Astyanax mexicanus: one gene and its partner. The protein of the gene in region 2 purifies or fractionates together with the protein of the main gene of each other region. This does not show direct contact. Links are inferred from orthologs where the notes say so. Each region holds a gene or a part of one and is shown on either strand. Other genes may lie near its edges.

Region 1 (7,292 bases), on a different chromosome or scaffold from region 2:
TTGAATTATTTTTCTGGTATTTCACTTAAACTAAAAAAATGCATTCTGCACCTTTCAATTGTGATAGTTTTAAAAGCTAATTTGCACATAAATTTGCCCTTTTGAGGGTCACCCTTCTGCAGAAAAATGACCTATACAAGTTTATTCTGGAATTAAGTTGATGTAAAACACATGACAAGCTCCATAGCAAAGGCAATTACAATATTTCTTAATACAGGACAGCAAAATAAAGTAAAACAGATTTAAAATTATTTACATTATGAAACATAATATAAATGCAGCCCTAATCTTAACCACCCCAAACTATACCTGAACTTCATTTCTGCCACGTTTTCACAAATGAATCATGATTGAAGCCATAATTTATGTGGGAATGGCGATTTAACGCTTTAAATCGCTTTTTAAAAAACGCTTTAAAAACGTTACAGGCACGGGAGCTTTATTAGTGTATATTTACGTTAGATTTATTTAAAACAAAAAGTGTTTATACACGAAAATTGACATTTTTTGCGTCACACGCGACTCAACAGCTTCAAATGTAGTTAGATAGTTACCCATCAGAGCTAGTCTAGCAGAAAGTGAAACTAGAGAACTAACAAAGCGTGCAAATACTCGAGCAGACCCCAATTAACTAACACTAACTCAGCTAATGCTAAAAACCGATTAAATTGATTAATCAGGTTGTTTAAGAGTTGAAACGACTAATAACTGAAACTGATTCATTTCGGAAGCTCAAACAAGGCCGGCGAGTCCAGCTCAGTTTTAGCTTCAGTTTAAGATTTAATTCGGCATTTTATCCTGCTCTGATTTGACTTATAATCCATTAAAAATGTTTTTAATGAAGTCAAATGTTTGTTTTATAAGCTAAGTGTGATTTAAAGACAGTTTAAGCTCGGATTTCTCCAAATCGCGCTGATTCGATTCGATTTGAGTCGAGTTTAGGCGCTTTGAGCAGCCTCCTGGCTAGCCTAGTTATTAAAATTCCGTTAAATTGACGCTTCTAATCTATTTTAATACAGGAAAGCAGCCGATTATCCATTTTAATCGCGATTTATTTTCACTTTGGCGCGATTATTCAGCCCGATTGTACCCGAATTCGAGTTTTACGGCTTTATCTGCCGCATGATGCTAAGCTAAAGGCTATGCTAAGCTAAGCTAACTGTGGCCACGGTGGCCTAGCCTAGCCGTGGTTAGCTTAGCCGTTAGCATAGCATGGCGCTGCTGTTCTCCTGCAGCGCGCGGAGCGGCCCGCGCGAGCGGACGGGCTCGCGGGTACTCACAGGGTCTTGGGCTGGTCGTCGTCCATCATGCTGCGGGCTGAGAGCGCGGGAGCGGCGGGGAATCGGCGGGGGTTCTGCGGGTCCGGGCGGGTTGATCTACCGGCTCCGAGTCTTTTGTGCTAAAGAGAGAAAACGCCAGAATAACTTCCTCTAACCTTACTGGAGATACGTAGCCGCGTGACGTCGCGAGCCAGGCCGGCCAGCCAATCATATGCGCCACAGACTCCGGAGCGGCACGCCGATATCGGTGTACCGGCGAATCCTGCACCCCTCCGTTTTCCTGCCTGTCGCGATCTGATTGGCTGAAGCCAACGATTTCCTTTTGTCTTTTGTACATGTAATTTTTGTAATTAATTAATTAATTCATTCATTCGTTATTATTTTTTTTTTTATAAAAAGCTAATTTTAAAAAATCATTGCACCAGAAGTAAAGCAGCATAAAGTTATCCAAAAGCAGTGTGTAAGACTGGTGGAGGAGAACATGATGCCAAGATGCATGAAAAAAACTGTGATTAAAAACTATGATTATTCCACCAAATATTGATTTCTGAACTCTTAAAACTTTATGAATTTGATTTTTTGCATTATTTGAGGTCTGAAAGCTCTGCACATTTTCTGTTATTTCAGCCTTTTCTCATTTTCTGCAAATAAATGCTCTAAATGACATTTAGATTTGGTGAAATTATATTTTTATTTGGATTTGGGGAGAAATGTTGTCTGCATGTTATAGAATAAAACAACCATGTTCAAAAGTCAAAACCACTAATTGGTAAAGTAACAAAGGTAAAAATTAAGTAAAAATGTTTACACGTGAAATACTATAAATAAATATGATTGTGCATAAAAGGAAAAGAAATCAAATGGAAGAGAATATGTCGCTCTTTAATGACAATATTTTGTATTTTTCTTACTAAAATATTGTTTTTTTTTATTATTTTTTGCCTTTGGGTCTAGAGCATACAGTTAGACCACATTTGTTAGGGGAATAAGGCTAATAATGCAGTAGTAGTTATTATTTACCTGAAGTAAAATCTAAAATATGTAATGTAAATGTCAAAAATCATGCCGTATAGTGTTAATATACATTTTTATTATATAAGTCAGATTACTATATACTATTTTTGAGATATTGATATTTTAAAAATGTACAATACAGTATGACTTTGGACCTCTAAAAATAACTATTTAATACCACACATGGGTTTAAGTTACACTATGATTAATACTGCAATTATAATTAATTAAATGAATTATTTGAACATTTCCTCTTGATGCATGTTTCTTTAATCCCTGTATCAGTGTAATGGTGTGTTAGGGCAGGGAAACCCGTATATTCAGAACTCTGGAGCAGGAAAGTTTTGGGGGAAAACGACTATTTTTAATCATTCTTTGTTGTGGGAGGTTGAGGTGGCACGAGTTTTTAATCAGGCAGCCGCGACAGAGCCCCAAGGGTCCTTGGGGTGCAGTATTTGCCACGTGATGCATTCTGGCACGCCGCACCGGCAAAGAGGCGGAGTGCGCCAAAATCGTGAGGAGGCGTTCGATTCAATTTAGCGCATCGATTCTGAGTTTTTCAGTGACTCGTAGAGTCGGTTCAGATTTAGCGGTGCTGGAACTAATCAGACACATAAATTAAATAAAATATTTAAATATATTATTGCAAAAACTACTGAACTAAGTACACCTCTAGACGTTATTAATAGGTTTGCTCAATGATATTGTCATTATGTCGGTATGGGACGATAATTTTTGCTTGTTTGTTTGTTTTGGGGTTTTTTTTGCCGGCATTGGCCGATATATAAACCCGAAACTTGCTGACTTACTTATATATTGTATTTTATTTATTGTAAGAATCAAGCGATGCAGACGACACTACTACAACTGTCCGACGCTGGCCACATTCCTTTTTTATTATTTATTTTTTATTAGTTTCGATAGATCTATCATTTTATTTAACCTGTTAATTTAAAAAAGAGGGTTTAACGTTTGTGCACAGCATACTCTCAACCGGAAACCACTGTCCACCTGAAGGACGTTCTGAGAGGCAACCATACATACAAACATATGAGCTACTAAGTCATAATTATTAAAAGGTCACATTTATGAGCTACTAAGTCATAATTATGACTTTGTAAGTCTGCGGGTATTATCTCATAATTATGAGCTTCTATGTCATAATTATGATATAATAATTCAAAATTATGAGCTACTAAGTCATAATTTTAAAATGGTGAGCCATAATTATAAGCTATTAAGTCATTATTATGAGAGGGTCATACTTATGAGCTACTAAGTCATAATTATAAGATGGTAAGTCATAAGTATGAGAGAGTAAGTCATAATTATGAAATGGTAAGTCATAATTATGAGATGGAAGGTCATACTTATGAAATGGTAGGTCATAATTATAAGATGGGGGGTATTATCTCATTCTTATGAGCTACTAAGTCATAATTATGAGATGGTAAGTCTGTGGGTATTATCTTATAATTATAAGATGGTAAGTCTGGGTGTATTATTTCATAAATATGAGGTATTAAGTCATAATAATGAGATTGTAAGTCTGAAGTATTATCTAATAAATATGAGATTGTAAGTTTGGGGTATTATCTCATAATTATGAGATATTAAGTCATAATTATGAGATGGAAGGTCTGGGGGTATTATTTCATAAATATGAGGTATTAAGTCATAATAATGAGATTGTAAGTCTGAAGTATTATCTAATAAATATGAAATTGTAAGTCTGGAGTATTATCTCATAATAATGAGATGGTAAGTCTGGGGGTATTATTTCATAATTATGACTTACTTTTTCCGGCGGAAATGTGCTTCCATTAGATTCGACTCGATTGATTCACTGAAAAGATCCGGTTGAAAAGAGTCGATTCGGGCGGCGAGCTGTTAGCTGGATCTCGGAGGCTACAGAAGATGGCGGAGAGAGGGGGCCGGCCGCCTCAGAGCTGCAGAACCGGGGAATAAAAGCCTGATTTACTGAATATTCCCTGATATTAGGAGGTTAGATAGGTGGGTAAGAGTTTACACACATTTTCTACACTGTTTTTATGGGTTAATTTATTGTGAATAATTGGTTTGTCGGGGGTAAACCCGGGTTTTAGCGGGTCGGGCTAATGCTAACCTGCTGCTGCAGCTCGGGTTTAAGCTACGTTAGGATCCTGTGGATGATTACTGGCTGATTTATAAACTGAATATTTCTATATTTTTGCGAATATAGCATTAGGTATATATAAATATAATGATTTAATTAGTATATAGAGTAAATGAGAGGCTGTTTGAGCTGTGCGCAGTCATTAAATAGCTCCTGAGTTGGTTAATTTATGAATTTTGACTCCCTGTTGATTCATTTCCATATAATTTGTTTTTCATATTTGTTTAATTTAAGTAAGTAAGTAATTCATAGTGGAGTCTGTTAGGGGTTTAGATCTATTTTAAATATTGCAAAATATATTATTATATTATTTAAAAAGTAGTTATATTGCGTTATTACTTGTGCATTATGTGTATTATCTATATTTGGTAAGTATTGTTGCAGGACTGAATTTGTATATACAGCTCTGTAAAAAATTAAGACAGCACTTCAGTTTCTGAATCAGTTTATCTGATTTCGCTATTTATAGGTTTTTATAGGTATTTATAGGTTTAACATTTTTGTTTTATTTTATATTCTCATTTAGGACATTTATTTGCAGAAAATTAGAAATGGCTAAAAAAAGAGCTTTCAGACCTCAAATAATGCAAAGAAAACAAGTTTGTATTAATAAAGTTTTAAGAGTTCAGAAATCAATATTTGGTGAAATAACCCTTGGCATGTTCTCCTCCACCAGTCTTACACACTGCTTTTGGATAACTTTATGCTGCTTTACTCCTGGTGCAAAAATTCAAGCAGTTCAGCTTGGTTTGATGGATTGTGATCTTCCATCTTCCTCTTGATTATATTCCATATTCTTATTTTTTCCAAAGCTGTATATATATATATATATATATATATATATATATAATCATATTGCCGCATGGATTTATTTAAGCTAATAGGTAAAAAGCCCCCATTGGATAAGAATTACAGCATGGGTTGTTTAACCCTAACTGATGCAGGGAGTAGCTTCTCATTTGTTAACAACCATGTGAAAATAATCATTGTGTAGTCAGGGAAAAGATGTTCATCTGTTTCAGGAGGGTCAAATTATTGGCATGCTTCAATACTTCAGAGAAAATATCTAATGATTATGAGAACCATAACACTGTTACGATAACTGTGTTTTAAAGGACAATATATTGTCTCAATAATTATTGCAGAAAATTAATGTGGAACGCATTATTAAAAAGTGGAATGACAGAAGAAATGTGGTCTGAGAAAAAAGCTTGAATGTCCTAAATGTCTTAAATCATGTAAAGTAACGTACATCAATGTCTGTGTTCTCTCTGTTGACTCCTGCAGCTGTGGCAAAGGACTGCGCCTCATGCGACAGGATGGACAGTGCTTAGACGTGGGCGAGGTTTAAGCTGAATGCATTGTGATTTCCAATAATTGAGACAGTGAATTGTAAAAAGCTGTCTACATTAATGAAAAGAACAATGTAGTCAGCTTAGCATATTCACCACTGTACGAGAGGTCTGCACGTGAGCGTGGTTCAATTCTGCAGCCGGCTACTGATGATGATGATGATGATGATGGTTATGACGGTGTCGCTCTGGTTTGTGTAGTTATTTGTAGGGCTGTTTGTTAATATTATTATTATTATTATTATCTATCTGTTAGTGTAGGATTCTCCCTATTGTCCATATTCCCAGCCAGACATTTGGTGTTTATTTTAGCAGTGTTTTTATCAGTGTTAGCATTAGCGCTAGCATTAGCGTTAGCAGTTGGACGATGGACGTCAGCGAGTTCTTTCCCCCTCTCCCGCTGGAGCCCCCCAGTGACGAAGGGTCAGGGAACGGTACGTGTAAAGCACCTCCACCACCTCCCCTGCAAACGTCCAGTGACGCCGAGGACATGGACGTTAGCTCTGGTGGTGATGGACCAGCGCTCACCCCGGCAGAGGACAGGGACGCTCCCATTCTTACCAAAGGCTCCGCCTCCTTAAGCTACAAGCGAAGCATCGCAGCAGCAGCCGACGCCCCCTGCGGTCCCGGCGGTTCCTGTCCCCGGACCGCCCGCCACGCGCCCCCCGTCACCAAATTCCTCCCCGACCTAAAGCTCCTCCGAGACGTTAAGATCAGCGTGAGCTTCGGCGGGGACAGCAGCAGCAGCAGCAGCAGCAGCAGCATTAGGAGCAAGGACAGGAAGGTCCTGTACACGGGCGCGGGACAGTTAGGACAGTTAGGGGACGGAGAGCAGGACGTAGGGAACGGACAGGTGTGCGGTGAGGGTGTAGAGCAGGGGGCGGGGCAGGTGAGCTCAGGGCAGGTAGACAGGAAGAGCGAGGAGGCCGAAGTCGAGCAGGAGAACAAGGTGGAGTTTGCGGTGTTGGACGAGCTGGAGGACTTCAGCGAGAACTTTCTGGAAGGAGACGACGGAGAGCAGAGTGAGTTCACCTCAGAGATGATAGTTCAGCAGGAGCGAACCAACGAGGAGGATCTCGGGTACGCCTACGAGGTACGTGAAACGTCTCTGGCGCAAGTTTTCTTTTCTTAATCTGATTTTCGATTTTTAATCGATTTTTTTTTTCCCCTACTAAAAATTACAGACTATACAAACTACAGATGACAAAGCAATGGTTAAAAACAAGTTTAAGAGTTTTCACTTTAACTACAAAAAGGAAATTTAAGTGCAACCAGAAACAAGCAAACAAAACACAATTGTAAACAGTGAAAACATCTAGTAACTTTTAGAAAGCTTTCTCTGACATATTTTAGGTACTGACACAATAAACCCTCAAACTTAAAAAATAAATAAATAAACACACCCTCAGAAACAATATAATAATATCTTAAAACGGATCGTGATGCCTGGAAGGAGTTGGGTTTGGCGGGGGCGTGGAAGGGAGGGGCTAA
Region 2 (7,330 bases):
TACAATATAGACCAGGAATCCTGTCAGACATAGGCAACTAGCTCAGCTATTTTAAGGCTAAAAACCCAATATGACTAGTTGGCAACAGTGCTAACGTAAGCATGTTTTCTAATGCTATACTAATGCATTTTGCCTAAACCTGTGGGAAACATTAGCAACCTAGCTAGGTAACCTAGGTTGCTATAACACTATATTAAAACAGCAAAGAAATATTAAAAGATTAACTTTAAACTCGATAATTAAATAATAATGTCACAGATTAGGGTCGAACACGCGAAGAATCCTGTCAGAAAAAATGATCGTTAGCAACAGTGCTAACGCAGGCATGTTTTCTACCTTAGCTAGTCTATATTACATTATATCAACAAGCGACACAATATTAAATAGTTTAGAATAAGTTTTACGCTGTATAAATATATAATATAAAAAATGGAGCCTTACGGACCAGAAATCCTGTCAGGAAAAGGACCATTTAAAAGCTAAAAAGCCAAAATGACTAGTTAGCAACAGTGCTAGCTCAGCTTAACGCAGGCATGTTTTCTACCAGAGCTCGTGCACTAGGAAAGCTAGCAAGCAATGCTAAGCTAACGTTTTCGTTTTCTGGTGCCTACGTTTAAACCTGTGGGAATTATTAGCAAGCTAACTAAGCTAGCTAGCTCACTTGTAGCAAACTATATGACAGACCAACGAGCTACGCAATATTAAAAGATTATATTTAAGATAAATTTAATAAACAGACAATAATGTCACAAATTGGGGTCGAACATGCCAATAATCCTGTCAGAAAAATTATAGTTAGCAACAGTGCTAACGCATGCATGTTTTCTACCATAGCTCGTGAACTGGCTAACCTACCAAGCTAACTATCCTGACAGAAAAAAATATATTAAATAAACATTAATTTTCCTTTTCTAATGCATTAAAACAATATTTTTATCCAGCTTCAGGACTGATTTAGTTGTGCACACCAATCATACGTTGATACAACGTTATGTCTGTTTTATATTGAACTTTACTTAGCTACATAACTAACTTACAACGTGTAACATAGGTTGTTATATCGTGTAAATCGCAGTCTAAATAGACATTTAAACAATAATAATTATTATAATTAATTATATAATATTAACTTTCTCTAATAATTATATAATAATTTATTATAATAATTATAATAATTATTACTATTAAAAAAATAATAAAAAAAATATTATTTGAGAAGAGCACTAATATAAGCTTTTATCTAAAAGCATTAATGTGAGAGTAGTTAGAGTAAGAGCTAGAGTAAGAAAAGTCACAGCCATTTAAAACCTTTAAATGAACGTAGATTCAATGCATCTTATGTATGAATTTTTACACGAACCCATGCATTATTTTAGGCAATGGTTTATAAAGGTTGTTTAGATGTTGTTTTCCCATCAACTCTAAAAAAGGTAGGTAATGCAACGTTATTTAAATATTAAATGTTAATGTTTTATTTGCTCGCAGGGTGGTTCCACTGACAAACAACTACTAATCCTAATTTTAGCTAGCAGCATTAAGAACAAAGTGACAGTATATGTATCTAGAACAGGTAGAATTTGTCCAAAAAGTCAATATATGTATATGTATTTAGGAACACATTTAGCTGTAGCAAGCCACCTAACTAAACCCCACGCTGGCTACTCGTCCACACAGGTGAGGCCAAACATCAGCATCATACTCAACCACATGGCAGCGACTAGTCTGGATCAACCAACCTAGCTAACCTAACACATACACCAAAGCATAACATATATAAACTGATTATTCGTCCATATATAGGTTAATATGACCATATTTATATTTCCCTACGACACTAAAAGATACGGTGGTACAGGTATAATTATAGGTATAGATATTTAGCTAAAACACAGCGCTGCCTGGCCTAGCTGCTGCTTCCACAACTACTACTGCCTTACAGTGTACGAACACGGTGTTATGTCAATATGTGCTACCCCGCCAAAAACTGCTACCATAGTGTATTATTGAAATGTATCTAATATAGCTACTAAAATACGACAAGAATATTACACCATATTAAAACAACATGCTGTTTTCAAATATTTAAGTAGGATATGTGGATAGTTAAAAAGAATCTGAATTAAAGTAAAAGTTAAAACATTACTTTAGTTAGAGGTAGAGGTGATAATACAATACACATATATTAAACTGTTCAAGCAAATAATGACACTGGAGTTTTTTAAACTCTCTATAGCATGATTTTCATATTTGTTGAGAAAAATAATAAAATAATAATAATAACGATAATAATAATGATAATAATATTAATAATAATAATAATAATAATATTAATATTAATAACAATTAGAAGAAGAAGAAATACCACTGCTTGTCATGTTAACCTTGTTATGTAACTGCATATTTATGTTGCCCTGAGGCAAAACAAACGAATACATAAACAAATAAATAAACGCATAAACAAAAGATACGGTTTTAGTAAGACAATGAAAACAAAATAGCCAAAATATTAATAATTAAAAAAATAATACACATTGAAATGACAATGCAATAATATATATACATAAAGCAGCACCATGATATTTAGGTTTAATGAACCCAATGAAAATTATAGCTAAATCATTTATCATGGAGAAAACATTTTTTCTTCACAAAAATAAACACACCAGCGCATGCGCAGTGTAGGTAGGGAGCACATTTTGACGGGTAGCGCAATTTGACGCAACACCCCGGATCCGCAGCTGCGCCGTGTGCAGTACTGCACCACCACCACCACCCCGCCGCGGGAACGGGGGTTTCTTTATACCGATAAACCGAGCACGACACGAGCCGTTCACTGGAGATAACGTTGTGTAGATGTTTTAGTATGGGTTAAAAACACCGTACTGTACATACCCATCCGCGGAGCAGCCGGAATCGTTCAGTCTGCGGTACTATAAAGACCATCGGCGGCTCTGAAGTCCTTCATTTTGTTGCGCTCTCTCCCCCATGCTGCATTATCTGAGGGCGGGGCCTCCAATGATGAACGGAACACACCAGCCAATCAGCTGCGGGGAAAAGTCTGACGCGGCGCTTCATTCATATTTCTGTTGACCAATCAGAGGACGAGACTCAGCCAGCGACTGCTCTGATCACGTTTTCTTGTTTACTATGCTATAGGACATAATGTCCAAAAAAATAAAATTTAAACACTATAGTTCACTATATATATACAGCTCTGAAAAAATAAGAGAGCACTTAAAAATGATGATTTTCTCTGATTTTACCAAATTGAAAACATCTAGAGTAAAGGCATAAGGTTATCCAAAATCAGTGTGTAAGACTGGTGGAGGAGTTACGGTGGCCGAGAAAGCCCAGCGCAGTGCAAATTGAAAAGCGCTGCAAAAGCACAAAACACATCCATCAAAATTACAACACAGGCGCAGCAAATAGAAAAACGCGCTGCAAAAAGAAAAACGCGCTGCAAATAGAACCACAACACAACGGAAGTGGGTCACAACACAACGGAATTTTCCCGGGGGACCTTAAAAGATGCTGTACCAGCTGTATACAAAGGACAATAAGTGGCAAACAAGCTTCTGAAAAGTAAGTTATGTTTATTAAAAGTTCTGCTTCACAAAACGCCTTGTTTGCCACTTTTTGTCCTTTGTACACATAGTGAAGTCCGAGATGTTACTGAAGACGCAGCTTAGCTGGTACAGTATCTTTTAAGGTCCCCCGGGAAAATTCCGTTGTGTTGTGACTCACTTCCGTTGTGTTGTGGTTCTATTTGCAGCGCGTTTTTCTATTTGCAGCGCCTGTGTTGTAATTTTGATGGATGTGTTTTGTGCTTTTGCAGCGCTTTTCAATTTGCACTGCGCTGGGCTTTCTTGGCCACCGTACTACAAGATGCATGGAAAAAACTGTGATTAAAAAACAGGGTTATTCCACCAAATATTGATTATTTCTGAACTCTTAAAACTTTATGAATATGAACTTGTTTTCTTTGCATTATTTGAGGTCTGAAAGCTCTGCATCTTTTTTGTTCTTTCAGCCATTTCTCATTTTCTGTAAATAAATGCTCTAAATGAGAATATTTTTATTTGGAATTTGGGAGAAATGTTGTCTGTAGTTTATAGAATAAAACAACAATGTTCATTTTACTCAAACATAAACCTATAAATAGTAAAATCAGAGACACTGATTCAGAAACTGAAGTGATCTCTTCATTTCATCAACTTAAGTGGTCTCTTTGTTTTTTTTTTCCAGAGGTGTATATACACGTGAGTTTATATTGGCTGTGTGCCATATCATATCGTACACAATAATATTGCCAACATTTTTTAATATGGTGAACGATATTATACCCTGAAATATCGTACTATATCACCCACCCCTAATTAATTATCACATCAGGGCTCTACTTTTATACTGTTTTTATCAAAAGAAAAATTCACACTGTTCTCATTTCCCATTATGTATCTACTACAGACAGATTATATCTGTCCAGTATAATTTATTTTACTTTAATCCTGAATATATGGAGATATTTGAAGTGCATTGTTATTAGTATCATGGCATTCTGGATCATTGACTTCTGTTACAAATCTGATAAAATTCTTGTATTTTTTATATCTCAGTTAGGGGTACGTCATATATCGTATTGCAATTATAAAATTAAATTTTTATTTTGTTGCAGTAGTGCATTTTTTATTTTTTATTTAGTGTTTTATCGTATCGCCAAGAGTATTGTTATTGCAAAAATACCATGAAATATTGTACAGTACCGACACAGTACAGTCTAAATGTGTTTATTGAGGGGGGGTTCAGTTCCGTCTCTGTGTGTTGAGGAGTCTGACTGCCTGGTGGAAGAAGCTGTTGCAGTGTCTGGTAGTGGAGGCTTGGATGCTCCAGTATATTCTCTAAAACACTCTAGTCAAATATGTTTATACATACACACAATAAGAGTCCTTGGGCAAGACTCCTAACACTAAATTGGCCCAACTCTGTAATAGGAATAACCTGGTAAGTCACTCTAAATAAGATCATCAGATAAATGCTATAAATGTAAATGAAGTAAAGTAAAATTTAAGTCTAAAGTTGCTATTTTTAAATATAAAAAAGTAAGGAAAGTCTATATAGAGGTTTCAACTTAACAAAAAAGAAACAATATAATGTATATCACACAAAATCCCAAGACTCCATTAAGTGCTTTTCTTTTCCTTTATTTAAAACTGTTAAACCAACATGAATAATACAGAATTATGAAAGGCATGCACAGGTTAGCTCTCAAAGTCTTCCCAAGTGGTTCCAGCACCGGAAATCTCACACTTATTTATTTTTGTGATACTAAAAAAAGAAAAACAAAAAAAAAAACATTCAAACATTTGAAAAACAAACACAGTACAGGAGCATAGAAATAAAAAATACTAAAAAAACAATACCATGATATACAAAATGACTACATTAAACATAGGCTTCACAACCTTTTCCACACAATTGACGTTTGAATGTTGAATGTTGAAGATTATCGGACTGAAAGACTGGAGGAATACTGGAAATTATAAACATTAATCGCCTCAACTCTGGTTTAACTCTTAACAATAAAAACACAAAATTATAGAAAAATGTAAAAATAGGAATGGGGAAAAAGGGTATTCTATTTTTATTGTGTGAAAAAACAAGATAATGGAATGTTTAGATATAAATTAGAAATGTTTGTATATATATATTACAACATACATAAACTAGCATATCACCAGATTGCATTATTGTCATAAATTTTAAAGGCGTCCTATAGTAACATTACTTTACATTACATAACTCCACCTCCCGAATAGAGCATTTATCTAATCATTATCATCTTAAAAGCATTTAGCATGGATTAGATAAAATAACTATTAGCAATTTTTCATGCTTGCTGTGATTTAATTACCTCCCAAATATAAAAAATAGAAAAACGCTAAAAGTGGTACTAGCTTTTTTTAAAAATGTATTTTCTCTACAGCGTAAGGTCACAGCCAGGTGCTACTGGGGACTCAAAGTGCTTAAGAAAGTCCGAGAACTTCACCTCTGCCATATCCTTTCATCTCGTGTTATGTAACAGGAACTGTGGTGTAAAAGTACTAAATACAGGTGAAGAAGGGCAGGATTATGTTAAAGGGTCCGTAGCAGTGTTTAGAGGCCTTTCTAAAGCGAGCTCTGGAGTGTGCTGCTGTCTGCAGGTTTACGGATCCTCGATGTCCATGAAATCGGTCTTGGGCGGGGCGGCGCCGCGGTACCAGGCGCAGGAGTTATCGTTCCTCTTTATGCAGGTGTAGTGCTGAGTCTGGGGACCCGCCACAGTGCTCTCCGTGATCCAGTCCGTCCATAGACACTCTACTGGATCATTAACCGCACAGGGAACAGAGGCACAGCGAACGATCTGTCAGAAAACGCATGAGAGAAACAGACGTTACAATAAAGTACAAAGATTAGAATATTATATATCGCATTTGCAGAGTTTCCTCTAACATTAGGATTTTAAATGCCAAACAATGACTGATTTATTTTGTGTTATATAACATCAGAAATAAGGATACAACGAATATTTGGTAAACGGAAACATTTAGACAAAAAAATGGTAAAAAGTATTTCCTCTAACTAGGAATTTTAGGACGTTTTGAAGGCAAACTATCAAATCAAATCATCAAATCAAATTTATTTGTATGGCGCTTTTTACAACTGATGTCAAATTAATCTGTGATCACATTGCTGTAAACTGCTTTGTGACATCATATTGCAGCATTTTCTCTTACATTAGAATTTTTTAAAAGTCAAACAATGACCGATTAATTTTATGTCATATTGCAGAGTTTCCTGTAACCTTACGATTTCTTAAGTTAAACAATGACAGATTTATTTTATTTCATATATTTCAATGTTTTCTCTAACAGTAGGATTTTTTAAAAGCTAAATAATGACAGATTTATTTTGTCATATTGCAGCACTTCCTCAAACATTAGGATTTTTTTAATCCGGACAACTACCAACTTATTTTACGTCATACTGCAACATTTCCTCTAACATTATTAGGATTTTTTTAAAGCAGCAGCTGGTGTTAACAACGTATCAACATAGGTTATGTATTGAATAAGTATTGAAGTATCAACACATTTACAAAACTATATATATATATATATATATATATATATATATATATATATATATATATATATATATATATATACACATTTTATCTGTCTTTATTATATCTAAGAGGTTTTTAACAGTGCTTAGGCCTGTTTTTGCCTCATGAAAGAATTTGATTCCCTTAAACTAAAGTGGTGAGGGACCTCTGCTTCATTCTTGTAAT

The links. Proteins that work in one complex are often made in the same cells at the same time.
Region 1: the proteins of usp36 (region 2) and dgcr8 purify together in Homo sapiens (affinity purification with western blotting; 3 studies listed by BioGRID, with this or other methods). This does not show direct contact. The link is inferred for Astyanax mexicanus from reciprocal best matches to the Homo sapiens genes USP36 and DGCR8.

Annotation. Positions count from the first base shown.
Region 1 is NC_064429.1:36,412,666-36,419,957, reverse strand, and holds the start of dgcr8 (microprocessor complex subunit DGCR8), read left to right. Parts: upstream 1-4,186; 5' UTR 4,187-4,311; intron 4,312-5,736; 5' UTR 5,737-6,168; coding exon 6,169-6,894; intron 6,895-7,292. Other genes in the region: tia1l (cytotoxic granule-associated RNA binding protein 1, like), read right to left, coding at 1,281-1,309.
Region 2 is NC_064426.1:43,489,041-43,496,370, reverse strand, and holds the start of usp36 (ubiquitin carboxyl-terminal hydrolase 36), read right to left. Parts: upstream 3,046-7,330; 5' UTR 2,893-3,045; intron 555-2,892; exon of another isoform or gene 446-554; intron 1-445. Other genes in the region: timp2b (metalloproteinase inhibitor 2b), read right to left, coding at 6,203-6,400. UniProt on the Homo sapiens protein: Deubiquitinase essential for the regulation of nucleolar structure and function. Required for cell and organism viability.